Linked DNA regions of Tamandua tetradactyla. The protein of the gene in region 2 purifies or fractionates together with the protein of the main gene of each other region. This does not show direct contact. Links are inferred from orthologs where the notes say so. Each region holds a gene or a part of one and is shown on either strand. Other genes may lie near its edges.

Evidence for each region. Proteins that work in one complex are often made in the same cells at the same time.
Region 1: the proteins of MAD2L1 (region 2) and KIF20A purify together in Homo sapiens (affinity purification with mass spectrometry; 4 studies listed by BioGRID and IntAct, with this or other methods). This does not show direct contact. The link is inferred for Tamandua tetradactyla from reciprocal best matches to the Homo sapiens genes MAD2L1 and KIF20A.

The regions. Positions count from the first base shown.
Region 1 is NC_135346.1:17,854,145-17,862,041, reverse strand, and holds the start of KIF20A (kinesin-like protein KIF20A), read right to left. Parts: upstream 3,034-7,897; 5' UTR 2,979-3,033; exon of another isoform or gene 2,779-2,978; 5' UTR 2,558-2,778; coding exon 2,513-2,557; intron 2,062-2,512; coding exon 1,876-2,061; intron 720-1,875; coding exon 630-719; intron 530-629; coding exon 410-529; intron 1-409. Other genes in the region: BRD8 (bromodomain-containing protein 8), read left to right, coding at 3,090-3,108, 4,049-4,145. UniProt on the Homo sapiens protein: Mitotic kinesin required for chromosome passenger complex (CPC)-mediated cytokinesis. Following phosphorylation by PLK1, involved in recruitment of PLK1 to the central spindle. Interacts with guanosine triphosphate (GTP)-bound forms of RAB6A and RAB6B.
Region 2 is NC_135348.1:48,646,102-48,653,150, reverse strand, and holds the start of MAD2L1 (mitotic spindle assembly checkpoint protein MAD2A), read right to left. Parts: upstream 3,041-7,049; 5' UTR 2,886-3,040; coding exon 2,813-2,885; intron 2,106-2,812; coding exon 1,959-2,105; intron 1,565-1,958; coding exon 1,444-1,564; intron 666-1,443; coding exon 562-665; intron 1-561. UniProt on the Homo sapiens protein: Component of the spindle-assembly checkpoint that prevents the onset of anaphase until all chromosomes are properly aligned at the metaphase plate.

The DNA.
Region 1 (7,897 bases), on a different chromosome or scaffold from region 2:
ATAATGGTTCACAATGAACTTTAGGGATGGATGGCTCTGGATCCAAGTCCTACTGTACCATATATGTTACTTCATTGAGCCACAGTATCCTTGCGGGGAAAATAGGATTAACAACAATAATAATCACAACAATAGAGTCGTGAATTAATGCACATAAAGTACTTCAGACAGTACTAGCACATAACAGTACCCCTCCCCAAACTGTAGATGTGTACATGTGTGTATTTATATGCGTGTATATATATAGGTACATATACAAACTCATGCATGGCTATATACACATGAACATACAGAGAGTCACACACACAACTTAAGATCTCACAGTCAAGTAAAGAAGTGTTCTTTCTAGAGAGGAAATGAAATTGTCCCTAGATGCTGGTTCTTTGTTCACAGCCCAGAACCTTCATACCTGGGAAAAGGTGAACCTGTGGGTGGCTTGGCCAATTCCTCGCTCATTGCTTTTCAAGGCAAAAGAGTCCTTAGGTGCTTGTAGAACAAGAGTCTCTCCATTCTCAATGCGGACACAGCTCTGTGGGTGGGGAAAACAGTTGTCACAAAAGGAAGCATTCCTGGGAACTACTTCTATATTACATCATTCCATCTTGAGTCCTTCCTCCTCAGATACTCACCTGATCTTCCTGTCGTTCCAATTCTGAAGGTAACAAGGGCCTGATCCTCAGGTATACTTTCACTTTCTCGGTACTATCCTCAGATGGAACCTGTGGCAGAATTTCAACCCAAAAAAACAGATTAATCATCTGAGCAGATAGGCAAACATAGCACCGTTCTTAGGAATCATGCTAGTGATTCTACCCCCTTCTACCCCAAATGTCTCTGCAGGTACTCTTTGCTTTCACAATCATCCCAACTCATATGGACTTTTTCACTACTCTGTCACTCTTCCCTATCTCATCAGTATCCTGCCACTGTTCATTGCCATACTGATTATCTCAGAATTAGTTGACTGGTATGAAAGTCAGAATGTGATATTAGGGCAAAGCACAGTAGTTAAGCACTATAAAGGCAGACACACCTGAATTTGAGTCCTAATCCCATCATTTAATAACTATGAGACCTTAAACAGATTCTTTAAATTCTCTCTGCCTCAGTTTTTTTCATCTGTAGAATGAGGTTAATAATAGCACCCACCTCATTCATTCTACAGATATTTAGTGCCTATCATGGCTCAGGAATTTAAGAGGCTCTAGTAGTTCATAGTGAGGGTTATCATCAAAGCTCCTGCCCTTTATGAGAAAGAAGACTTTTGAAGACAAGATGTGACAATGTAGATTCAGTGTTTAACATAGGGCCTGTCTAGTACAGTGGTTCTCTAGCAGGGCAAACGTTCCCCCTACCCCTCCCCAAGCTCCCAGGGACATTTAGCAATGTCTGACTTTTTTGGGTCACCAGTTGGTTAGTACTACTGGCATCCAGGGGGTTGAGGCCTGGAAAGCTGCTAAACATCTTATAATTTCCGAGACAGTCCCCCACAATAAAGAATTATCCAGCCCCCGATGTCAATAATGCTGCAGCTGAGAAATCATGGCCTAACAAAAAGAAAGTCTCAATAATCGTAATGATGGTTGATATTATTAAAACCTGAGTGTACATTTCACCTACTTAATGGCAGTATGACCTTTTGCAAATTATTTAACAGGACTGGGAGGGACATGATGGTATTTTATTAATGCAATGCTAATACTAATTCTTCTTATTGAAACCCAACTCTACATTTTTGACTGGTCATTACCCTTCACTTTGAACCGATCTCTCAGAATCTCAGTTTTGCTTGCCTTTGACCTAACACCCTGTATAGACAACTAGTAGGGTGGAGATATCACTTTCTTACCCCAAGCCACGCCCCAACTCTGTTACCTGTTGCTTGTTCTCCAGGGAAGTGGAGATGACAGAGCAGTCTGACAGTAGGTCTTTGCGTATCACAGACCCTAAATCTGCAGCTGTAGACTCAAACATAGGGGAAACTGCGAGTTCCTCATCCGACAATAAGCCGGCTGGTGGAGAAAGGATCCCTTGTGACATGTCGGCAGGGACAGCTTTGGTCTGAAAAGAGACAAGAGTGGGTAGGGAGGAAAACTTTAAGGACAGAAGGGGTTGCAAATTCTAGGTAAGAAGCAATCCCCTTACCCTTGGAAACCTGGTTTGCCTGCCTGAATTCCTATTCCCTTTTCCCTCCAAATACGGGGAAGGGGTTGAGAGGAGGAGTTAATCTTTGAAACCTTTCTGGAGAGGCATTTCCGACCTTGAATAGGAAAGAAAAGAGATACACCTCCAAAACTAGAAGGCCAGTAGGGTACCTCGCCTTTCCGTACTATGGGGCACGGGCAGAGTCAAAGGTCAGGATCCCCAGGCTCCTTTTCCAACCTCTTCCCAAGTCCACCACGAGGGCAAAGGTATTAAGAAAAAAAGAGATGGTGGCGGTGCCCCCTTCTGAAAGCCCGTTCTGCGAAATCAAGAGCTGATAACCCGGGCTCCAGTCGAGCTGCACACTTACCTGAAGCCGCGACACTCGTTCCCGCTCCGGAACCGACTCACTCATTCAGCTGCGGATCCTGGACCTTAGCGGTCCGCAGCACAACTCCGCCCACGAGGCGCAGCTTTGTTACTGATACATTGTTTTAAATTACGCGCTCCGTTCACTCGGCCAATCAGACAAAAGAGCCTGCAGCTACCAATCAGCGCAAAGAAGGGAGGCGGGCGAAATAGGGGACTTCTGCTTCTATTTGACCTCTCCACTCTCACGTGGGTCCGGGTTACCAACTGTCGGAAATTTGGAATCGAGTCACTTCGGATTCGTCCGGCTTAACCCTTTAGCGTAACCCCTAGACATTTCATTTCCTAAGAAGCCTGAGGCTTCAGTTGCCATCCCCTGTCCTTCCTTAGCAACGCTACTTTAACTTGCGTACTCCGTTGGGGGAGGTGGGGGGGGGTCGGAAAAACAAACAAACAAACAAACCTACATTTCCCAGGAGTCATCGCGAACAAACTCCCGTACTCGATTTCCCAGAGTTCTCCGGGATCCGGTCCTACCTGACTCACACTCTTCCGGGATAGTAGACTTCGGGGCCAAGATGGCGGCAGGAACGGGCAGTGAGTGTCTGCGCTACTTTTGAGCGGAAGGCCATTGTAGAGCCGAGGCTAGGCACCAGATTTCAGTCTAACATTTAGGGAGTGGTTGGGGTGGTTTGGCTGAGAGCCCAGGGTGTCCAGAGACCTGCGCTTGACGGCGTAGTAAAGGCCAACGGTTGGGGGCCCGAAGTATAGGGTCCTGTGTCTCAGGGAGGGAGCGGAGGCGTAAGGGAAGTATTTAGCGAATCCCTGTATGTAGGGAGCTCCGCGGAGGAAGGCATAAAGGCGCTCTAGAAACTTGGGCGTGCAGACGCAGATTCGGCCATCATACGGAGGGGCTGGTGTCTCAAACATCAGTTCAGTTTCTAGCGAATGTGTTTGTGAGGCAGTGGAAATGGGGTCTTTTAATCGTGAGCTTTTTCTGCCACCGGGAAAATTGAGTTTCGTACATCTCAATTATTTTCCTTATGTTTAATAGGTAGAGAAGGCCTTTTAGGCCCGACAGTTGGGGGCGGGGTAATGAGACTAGTAAACAGTTTTATGCTAAGAAGGAGGCGGGGCAGCAGGCGGAGCTAGCCGCTCGGAATCCTGGGAAATAAACCTGTATTTTTAAATTAGAGAAAGTATTCTTAAAATTGGGGCTTTCGAGAAAACTTTTTCGGCTTAATACGTCATTTCCTATCTTTTATTAAAGCGGAGCTTGAAGCCTTGGGTTTTGAGGAAATCAAATGTTCTCCCATATACCACACACCGTGCAATTCTCATGCAAAGAATAAGTACCCCCCACCCGCACCCCGCACCGTGATACACAGCTATTTCGCTTTAACGGCGAAAATCCAGATTTGGTGCTATAAGAGCCTACTTTGTGCTAACAAGTTGGGTGTTTTGTATTAGGCTTTTAGTTCTCTGGTGCTTAAAACTCGTGTCTCTGGTTATCTGTATACTCTTTCTCTACTTTCAGAACACAAACTGTTGAGTTCTGGCCCCACAGAGCCATGGTCCATCCGGGAAAAGCTGTGTTTGGCATCTTCTGTAATGAGAAGTGGAGATCAGAATTGGTACGTTATCCATGATGTCTGTCTTGGGTCTTAGAACTGCTGGGTATTTTTTCCTGCTGTTGGATATAGTTAATGAATTATATTTAATTAATCTATATATTAATCTTTAAGCATCTTTTTTTTTAAACAGAGTTATTGAGATGTAAATCACCATAAATAATACAACTCATTGGTTTTAAGTATATTCATAGAGTTGTGCAACCATCACCATAATCTAATCTTGGAATATTTTCATTACCCCAGAGAGAAGCACTTAACAGTCAAGCTACATAACTTCCTCCACCCCACTCCCATCCCTAGGCAACAGCTAGTCTACTTTCCGTCTCTCTTGATCTGCCTGTTCTGGACATGTTGGTTTTCTGTGACTGGCTTATTTCACATAGGATAATGTTTTCAAATTTCATTTATAATATAGCATGTATCAGTACTTCATTCCTTTATGTGGCTGAAAAGTATATTCCATGTATAGATAGCCACATTTTGTATGCTCATAAGTTGGTAGAAATTTGGATTGTTCCCACCTTTTAGCTATTATGAATGATGTTGCCATCAATCTTTCTTGTTTTTGTGTGAACTTGTGCTTTAAATTCTTTTGGGTATATTAGGAGTGAAATTCCTGGGTCATATGGTAACTCTGTATTTAAGTTTGAAAGAACTGCCAAACTGTTTTCCAAAGCAACCACAGTTTTACATTCCCACTAGCATGAATGAGTATTCCACTTTTACCACATCTTCACCAAGACTTATTTTTGTCCTTTTGTTTTTAACTATCCTAGTGGGTGTGAAATGGTATCTCATTTGGTTTCGATTTGCATTTCCCTGATGATTAATGGTATTGAGCATTTTTTCATTTGCTTAGTGGCCATTTGTACATCTTCTTTGGAGAAATACCTATTCCGATCCTCTGCCCTTTTTTGGGGGGTGTGGGGGTGTGCAAGGTCTGGGAATCGAACCTGGGTCCCCTGAATGGAAGGCAAGCATTTTACTACTTAAGCACTTGTGTACTCTGCTTTGCCCATTTCTTAGTTATTTATCTTTTTATTTTTGAGTTGTAAGAGTTCTTTATATATTTCAGATACAAATCTCTTATCACATAGATGATTTGCAAATGTACCAGCAATGAATGAATATTCTGATTTCACCATATCCTCCCCTTCTTACTCTAGAGTAGTCTCCATTAAGTTTGATATGTCCTTTCATAAATTTTTCTATGTGTGGTTTGTGGACATGTTTAAATTTTTTTTTGAATAAGAATAGGAACATCATATATACATAGTTTTTAGCTTGATATTTCATTTAAGACAGTATGTGGGTATTTTTCTGTCAATACACTAGATATGATCTTATTCTTTTTAAAAACTCAGTAGTATTCCATTGGATATACCATAATTTGTTTTACATTTGTCTTCTACGGGCATTTAGGGGTACAGTTTTCTCTTTGTATCAGTATTTCTATAGGATAAGTTCCTAGAAGTGACATCGCTAGATCTGAGATATGCACATTTTCAATTTTAAGAATCTTGTAAGATACTAGACTTCTCAAAATTTTTCTGTTTAAAATAAATTGTATTTATTTCCTTGTGTGTTTTCTCATTTTATGAAAGGTACGTATAACTGCTAGTCAGATAGTTATTTCAATAGATGAGAAAACCAGTATGAGCATGCTTTGTTGGTGTTCTAGCTGGTAGCAAATCTGACTTATTTTATTAGCCTGGCAGAGTATCCTAATTCTAGGTAAATATACAGCTGCCTTTATACTTTTTTTTTAATAATAGTAACATATATACAAAATAAAATTTCCCATTTTAACTCTTTACTTATACAATTCAGTGGTATCAGTTAAAGTCAGTGTTATGCTGTCATCACTATCCATTCCTTATGATTTTGGAAGTATTGAAAGCAGCTCAGTAACTTCCTTTATTGATTGACTGTCCTCACCCTAGCAAATAAGAGGGTACATGAAGTAGTTTAAGCATTGTTTAACAAGACCTTGTGAACTTTGTTACCGTCAGAATTATTGACTCTGTTCTGAGTTTTCCTTTATTTTGTTTCAAATATTTCTTGTCCTTTTTCTTTTTAACTAGCCTGTTCTTAAATGAACAGAAAATTGCTCTCAGTAAAACTTAACTATTTTCAAAATTGATGAAAAAAATTTCCCCTTTGGTAGACTGCAAGCCTTTCAGTATTTTTTTAGGGGGCTTGGTGACAGAGTTGGAAAACTGCTTATAGGTAACAGGCCCCCAGAATTTGTTAGTATCTTAAGCTTGCTTGCAAATTTTTTGGGAGCAGTAAAGTCTGTGTTAAGGGAGGACCAGTCTGTTTTAGGTAGCACCTATTGTTGAGCCAAATTAAATGAAAAGCCCCGAAACAGAATGAATCATACTCGTTTGCTAAACTTCAGATTGAACTTAAATATAACTTGATTCAAATATAAACCAAATTCATTAAGTAAACTGCTTTGAAATAACCCAATCTTCATTTCCTCACATTTTTATTAGAAAAATACTATAAAAACACTTAAGTAAAACCCTGAAATTTTAAATTTTATTTAATTTTTTGAGGAGAAAGTAAGTCTTAAGGTTCAAAATGCAAAAAGATACACAGTGTCTTGCTAGGTCAAAGAGTAAATGAATTTAGAAAATTTGATAAATATTTCAAGTTGTCCCCCTTAGAGATTGTTTCAGTGGATACTCCCATTGGTAATATATAAGAGTATCTGTTTTTCTATTTCCGGTGTTATCAGGTATTTTCGATCTTTGACATATGAAAGGTAAAAATAGTATCTTATATTTAAAATTTTCGCTTATCATATATTGAGTGAAGTTGGACATCTCTTTGTATGTTAAAAATGCACATTTCCTTTTATGTATACGGTCTTTTGCCCATTTTTGGGTTTGATGATTAGCTTTTCTCTAATTTTTGGGAGTTTGTATATAGTATTACTAGATATTATATATTTGACTGAGCTATGAGATGTAACTTTTTTTTTTAACCGTTGTTCCATTTAGCTTTGCTCAAAGGTGGCATTTTACCTTAAGACTTTTAAAATGTAGTTTATTAATATTTTTCTTGAATGGCTTCTGGATTTTGTGACATAATTAGAAAGTTCTTCCCTACTTTGAGATTATAAAATTAAATAATTCTCCTCTGATTTCTTCTAAGTACTTTCATGGTTGCCCTTTTTTTAACATTTAAATCTTGATTCTTTGGAATTTATCTTAGATTAAGGTGTAAATTATGACTTAAGCTTCATTTTCCTGATGACTCTCTATATAACAATATTAAACTTTTTGTAAAGGAGAAAAGTTCTATGATATTATGCCAGCATAAAATTGTAAAACTTTTTTTCTTTAACGTTATGAACTATTTCAGCCACATAGAAAGTGTGGAGAATGATATGAGTGCCCATGTACCTTAATATTAATATTAGCAAATCTTAATATTTTATCATGTTTTTTTATTTTAAAGAGATAAACATAGATGCGTTCAAAGCCTGTTTGCATCCTTCCTTGATCCCATTCCAGCCCAACTGTTTTTCATTTTTGCATATTTCTTTGTTTTGTTTTTCTGCTTACAACTTTTGAAAAGGTTGTATGACTGTAATCAGCAGGAAATTGTCATTTTTCAATTACTACTATAAATAGATTCTTTGTTATCACATGCATTTTTAAATTATTTTTATGGGTTGTTTGGTTTTCATAGAGTTGAAGTACTAGAAGTTAAGCATTGTGGACATTTAGGAGAAACCCAAC
Region 2 (7,049 bases):
TGAATGCTAATCACTAATTTATTTTTCTCAATGGAAATTCATTTTAATACAAAAAATACCACACTATTCTACCTAATCTGAAGAGAAATTCAAGATTTTTTTGTTTTTTTCAAAGAGGAAACCATTTCTAAGATACACAGTAAGTTTATAATTACATAAGACATGAATGTAAGGCACAGGAAAGCTAACACTTTGGTTTGGATCACGACTATATCCTAGTTGCCCAAACAATACCTGGCATATACCAGGCATTGAATAAATATTTGATGAATGAAGGACTAAGTCTGAATAGTCAGACATAGTTATAGCATAATCTTACTCATATAAAATTAAAAAATTGAAAGGAATTACATCAAAACATTCAAGAACGAGTATTATGAAAGACATTTCTCTTTTTTAGTATTTCCAAATTTTCTAGAATGCTTATATATTAGGTTTACTTTATATGTATATATACTATTTTCACTTTTCCCCCTACTTATAAACTAAAGAAAAAATGTAATAAAGGAGTGATTCTTAAATTAGTAGCTTAGTATGAGAAATTGCATAATATAAACTTACAAGAAACTTCCAATAGTGGCAGAAATGTTATTGTAGCTGTGATTTGTCTGATCACGGAACGAATTTCATCTTGGATAGCTTTCTGAGACTTTTCTCTGGGTGCACTATCAAGAAAATCAAGTCAATTCATTTTAGGTTTTAACAAGTCATTTAAAATATAACAATAGCAATAGCTAAGATTATCTGATTAAATGCTTCTGAAATAAGTAATGCATCAAAAAGAAGTTTAAAAAAAGAATGAACTTAGTAGGTACAATAAGCATCATTATTTCATCAGTTCTTCCAATCATAATATCAGGTCATTTAGTATCAGATGTTTAGAAAACTGCCAGCATCTCTGAGTTAGGAAAACTTCAAGACCTCCTAAAATAAAATTAATAAATGGTATCTAAAATCATTTTGGTACAATCATTTTGACATTTTTAATAATGCTTATATATCTACCTCCCAATTGCTTCAAATAAAATATCAAATTAGTTTCCTGAAATACACTAAAGGCTTTAGAAGCAAACCATGCTCCATAATGAGAAATAATTATGCTTCTGAGTTTACAGAAAAGCATATGTAGGACAATGGTGGACATCAGCATATAATGACAGGCACTTCTTATCCAGGCATTAGATTTAGACTTTTTTGAAGCACCTTAGGAAGTTCATAGCTTAAAGGAAATGCAGCAGAGCTGCATGTTAAGCTGGGGAGAGCCTAGGAAAATCTCTTACAGTTAAGAGTACCTTCAAGCACAATTCCTTAAATGGTCCACTTAGTACATCTTGCAATTTCACATGTAACACCATAAATACTAAAGTTATAATTTTAACTCATTTAGGAATGAAGACAAGTTTTGGAAAGAATACATCAGAGTAAAAATAATTTTATTCATACCTCTCATCTTTTGCAGTCTTGTCACACTCAATATCAAACTGCCATCTTTCAAGGACTTCACCACTTTCAATATTTGAGATGACCACAACCAGTTTTTGAACTGAACACTTGTATAACCAATCTGCAACACATAATAAGGCATTTATGTTTGTTCCACTACATTGCAAAGCAACCCTGCCTTTTCAGGTCCTTTTCCCTTTCTCAGCAAATTCTTACCACTGGTCTTTTGGAACTTGTCTCATTTGCTCAGATAACTTGTCCCATTAACAACCCAGCTCCTGTTCTAGTTCATGTAATACAAGATGCTGAGGATAGAATAGCCCCATTCAGAATGCAGAAGGGTAGGATTTCCCTCAATCTATATATTATTTGCTTCTTCTCATTGACAATAACAATATTTGAGAAGGTAGTTTGTTTTACCTCTCCCAAAGGGCTGAAAAACAGTCACCAAGATGCTAGAAAATCTGGATCTCAGAAGGGATGCAAAACTCAGACTGTTTACAACTAACAAATACCTTTTAGTTGGTCCACTACATTATTTAGGTATTTTATGAGCTCAGGATCTGTAGTTACAAGCAAGGTGAGTCCATATTTCTGCACTCGAGTAAAGGTTTCAGATGGATAGATGCCACGCTGATATAAAATGCTATTGATTCCAAAAGCTGAAAGCAAAAGAAATGTTATAGAAAAATCATTATCATTTTGTAACTTTGAAAATGAAACATCTATATAGATGTGGATAGTTTCATTAATGCTCTAAAACTGGAAACATGAACACGCAAATACCCCTACTTTCTTGAAAGCAAAATAGGTACAAAGTGGCATTACAAATCCTTGGCAAGACTTTGTCACCCTGTTTTCTCCCAAATCTTGCCAGGCACCATCAGGAGTCCCGACTACAGAAAGCCTGATCAAGAACACTGCTTCCCACAGTTCACGCTTGACTCAGAACTACCTGGGGGTGGGGTGCGGAGCCAGGAAAATATACACAGGGACCCACTGCGTCGTCCTGTGCCCTAAGCCCTGGAGTCCTCGGTCCCAGGGAAGGGCCGAGGGCGGGGCCGGCACTCACCCCCGGAGAAGGGCCGAGGGCGGGGCCGGCACTCACCCCCGGGAAAGGGCCGAGGGCGGGGCCGGCACTCACCCTCCGGGGCCCAAGCTCCGCCGCCGTCAGCAGCGCGCCGGCGCCAGTCTCCAGGACCTGCCCCTGGCTGAGGCCCTTCCTCAGCAGGAGGTCCGGAGGCTGCGGTCGGGTCGGTTCGCGACCGCCTGGCGCCCGTGGGCTGCCCCTGCCTCAGGCCCCACCTCGGCCTTCGCGGCGGCGCGGCCCGGGCCTCGCCTCTCCCGCCCGCCGCGGGAGTGGACTTACAGAAGAACTCTGCCACGACTTCGGCGCTCCCGCGCAGCGTGATGCCCTGCTCCCGGGAGAGCTGCCGCGCCATGGTCCGGAACAGAGAACGCTTCTTGAACAGCGAAGAGCGGCCACGGCGACCACAGCAGCAGTTCCCGCCGCTCGTTTCAAAAGTAACTACGCCGCACGCCGGAGAGCCTTTGCGCAGGCGCGTTGAGCCTCCACTCCTCCCTCCCGCCTCTGCGCAGGCGCGGCGAGCCTCCACGCCTCCCTCCCGCCTCTGCGCAGGCGCAACGAGCCTCCACCCGCCCTCCCGCCTCTGCGTAGGCGCGATGAGCCCCCTCCCGTACGCCTACCGCCCCACGCCGCGAAGCCTGTGCGCATGCGCGATCCCCTTCCGCCTCGTCCGGGCTTTTCCCGCAGGCGCGTGGGAGAGCGTGGCGCTCTGTGACGCGCAGGTGTTCGCGCGTGGGTCCTCTGGTCGCGTCAACTAGATGAAGCCGAGGGAAGGAGGGAGATCCTGATGATGTGGTCGCTCACTAGGCCTGTGGATCGCACAGGCGAGGGGCACACCGGCCCGCGGGACTGCCCGCCTGAGGCGAGGCGGCCGTGGGGACGCCGCCGCGACCCTGTGGGAAGTCGGACCATTCTCCCGACGCCTCGGCGAGTCGTCCTCCGTGTGTGAGAGAACTGGCCGGGGGTGAGAGGGCGAGCCCAGCCCGAGGTGGCGGAGCGAGTCCGGGCCGCGCCGGGGTGAAGGTCATCCCGCCGCGAGGCCGGTCGCGCCGAGGACGTCACGGCGGACTGGGCCCACACGTTCCGGGGCTCTGCCCGTTTGGGTGGGAGGGTCCGGAGATTCTGCACGAGTAGTCCCCATTCAGTTGTGAAACGATTTTCCTTTGAGACAGCCGGGGAATGGGCTCGTAAAATGCAAACCGAGGACTTTGACGTCTACCAGATGCTATGTTTGATTACGTAGGACGAGAAAGGCCTGGCAGTGTGCTCATGTTCTCGTTGCTGCCTAACACATCCCCGAGTTTTCACTAAGACCCCCATTTAGCCCTCGGCCTGCGGGTGAGAGTGCGGGAAGGGCCCGCCGACTCGAGCTGAGATCCGGGTGTCCGCACGCTGGGGCTCCGTCGGAGGGCGCGGGCCCCTCGGCCTTCTGGGCCTTCGGGTTTAGTCCTGAGGTCCAAGTGTCCGGCCTCTGCATGGACTCTGCCGTAGGCTCCCTCCCTTGGGGTCTCTGTGACTCCAGGACACACCTGAGTAGGTCAGGTCCGCTCAGACAATGTCTTGGTTAACTGGCCCCAGAAGTGACCTCTCTGTGGACGAGCTCTGCAGGCGGTCGGTCACATGGCCTGCTCGCCAGGCGACTGGACTCGAAGCCGTCTTGAAATCCCAGGGCTGGATTAGTTTGCAGAGCGGAGTGTGTGTGTCATGGGAGATGGGCAGACTTGATCCAGTAAGGTCTTTTCCTTACATCCTTTTAGTCTGTGTTTTGTTTTTAAATGACCAGTTTTGGTGTGAAGAGCAAGACATGATGGAAGGTGAAGAGTGAAGGGGCAAGGAATCTAGATGTCTCTCACCCTTTCTACCGGAGCTTGTGCTAGGGCTAGAATTCTGGTATCAAGCGTTAGGGCAAGGCACCCACCTTTTTCCATTTAAAAATTGCCTTTGTTCTTAAGAAACTTTTTGCTAAAAGCCAGCACTTCAGGAAAGACTTCCTTGGGTTTCATGATGATATGGGTTGTAAATTACTTGAAAATGTTAAGTAATTGTGCTATAACAAATTTAAAGGTTAGGAAAATATATGAGGTTTTCATGTATAGAAGAAATATTTATTTAATGTTTTCTTTGTACTCTGAGAAGATATAAGAAATGAGTAAGACTTGGAAGACGTGGTTTATGCCAATAATTAATATTGTTTAAATATGCATTCTCTAAAAAATATTGAAGGCTCTCGAATTTGATCTTTTCTGGCTTTTGCCTACCTCTGCAGCTCCCTTTCAGATTACTTTTCTAATTTGTCTGCCTCTTTTAGTAACTTTGCATTCCATTCCCTTTTCCACCTCAAGGCTTTCCATAATAGGCTGTCTTCTACCTAGAAAGTTTATTTTGCACTTGTGAATCCCTAATATGCTCACACCCCTTCTTAACGTAAATGAAGAAAGTTTCTGTGACCTCTCACGTTAAGGTCCTTTATGTATTCTCATAGCCTCTCATAGAATTGCTTAAAAGCGTTTGTTGCATTGTAAATAGTTATGTAGTGATTTATATTATATATTCCCTATTTTTGTGTAGGATTGGTGATGGCATTTAGTGAGTGCCCCACAAATATTTGTTGAATTAATAAACATTTGAATATTTGTCTAGAAAAACGAAATGGAACAACCCAACAAATATTTTCATCTGAGAGCAGGTCGGATGGATGAGGTAAGGCCACTTTTAGCCATCTTTGAATACCCACCTGGGTTGATTAAATTAGAGGCATCATGGAGTTCTGGATTCTTAGGGTTGACATAAAAACCTAGCACTAGTTATGTAAAAATTTCTGAAGGTAGAATCAAATGGAATTTTAGAATTGATGTAGCTTAATTAATGACTTAGTTGCATAATCTGAAATGAGAAAACTTAGGTTCATATTGACTGTATAATTATGCTGAGTTTTTAGTAGTGAAATCTATACAGTACCTGACTTACTCTTAAAAATGATGTCTGTTTGAAGATATGCTTAAAGGTGCTCTTTTTTTTTCTACATGTTACTTTGAAAAAATTAAATGAAGTTTAGGCTGTTTTTTAACTCAATAGTATGTATACATAACTTGTTACAAAGATTGCAGTTCAACTCCAGTTTAATAAATTTTATGTTAATACAGAAATAGTTCCAACTACCAGAAGATGGCACTGCTTGCATGTGAAATAATGCTTTTTAAAAATTCAATCCGAGTGTCTGTTTAAGTTAAAGGTAAAATAAATAAGTAAATAAAATTATTTAAAGCAGGAGTAGGCAAACTAAGGTCTACTGGTCAATTCTGAACCAAGGCATATTTTTGTATGGTCCACAGCTAAGAATTTTTTGAAGAGATTGTTAAAATATAAAAAAGAGAAGACTATGCAACAGACCTCTGTGGTGCAGAGAACTTAGCATTTATATTCTAGCTGTTTACAGAAAGTTTGCCACAAAACTGATCTAAAACACTGGATAAAGTAATGAAGTAAAAATGAGTTCGGTAGTTTCTGAGGTAAACTTATATATGGAATACTTAAATGAAATGTTGCATCATACTATATTATATAAAACTGATTTTCCTTCTTTTAAACATTATATGCACATATACACAGACATATTTATACATACTTGTATATATGAAATCTTAGTATATTTTATGTTTACATTTAATTTTCATATTAATTTATTACCTGGAATTGAAAATATTTCAGTAATCATTTTCTCATAGACTTATGATAGTTTCCCATCAAATAGCCAGTTATTTTATTTATAAGGTCAATATCTTGAAATAAAGCAGTTTGTTCTAAATCTGGTAAACAGTGGTGTACTTTTCTGTATGATTCCTTTGATAAGACATACATCTACCTATTTGATTATGCTTGTTTGTAAGATTAACTCTTGTTTTTTTAGAACATTTTTGTCCTAAATCTTAGGATTATTCTATGTGTTATATCATTTAGATTATGTCTTATTTTATGTGAAGGACAGGAATGAAAATAAATCGGTTATTTTTTACTCTGATTACTTGGGCTTCATTTTGTAGACCTAATATATGTTTATATATTTTTATATACTTAAGGATTAAGCTGAAAATACAGATCTTGTAAAGTTCCAATTTCCCTCATAGTAAGTTTTTGATCATTGGCCCACATGTCCCAAAGATAGCACAGTGAATTTGAATCATGACTTTTCATAGATAAGCAATGGCTTAATACAGTAAAAAATAGGTTTTGAATGATCTAGTTGTATATATAGGATTTAAAAATTTTATTCTTAGTACAAATTAAGTGCTAAATATTAATAAAACATGTTAAGATGAAAAACCCTAAGTTCATAAAATGAAAATACAGGCTATTTCATAACAGAAAACATGTTGCATAATCCTTTATTATGATAGGGACATATAGCCACATATAGAATTTTCATAGCTCAAACATGATTAGCTACCAAAAGGTATACTTTCAAAGGTAAATAATAATATCTTGATTTAATTCCCAGAGCCTTTTTGATGGATACATTACA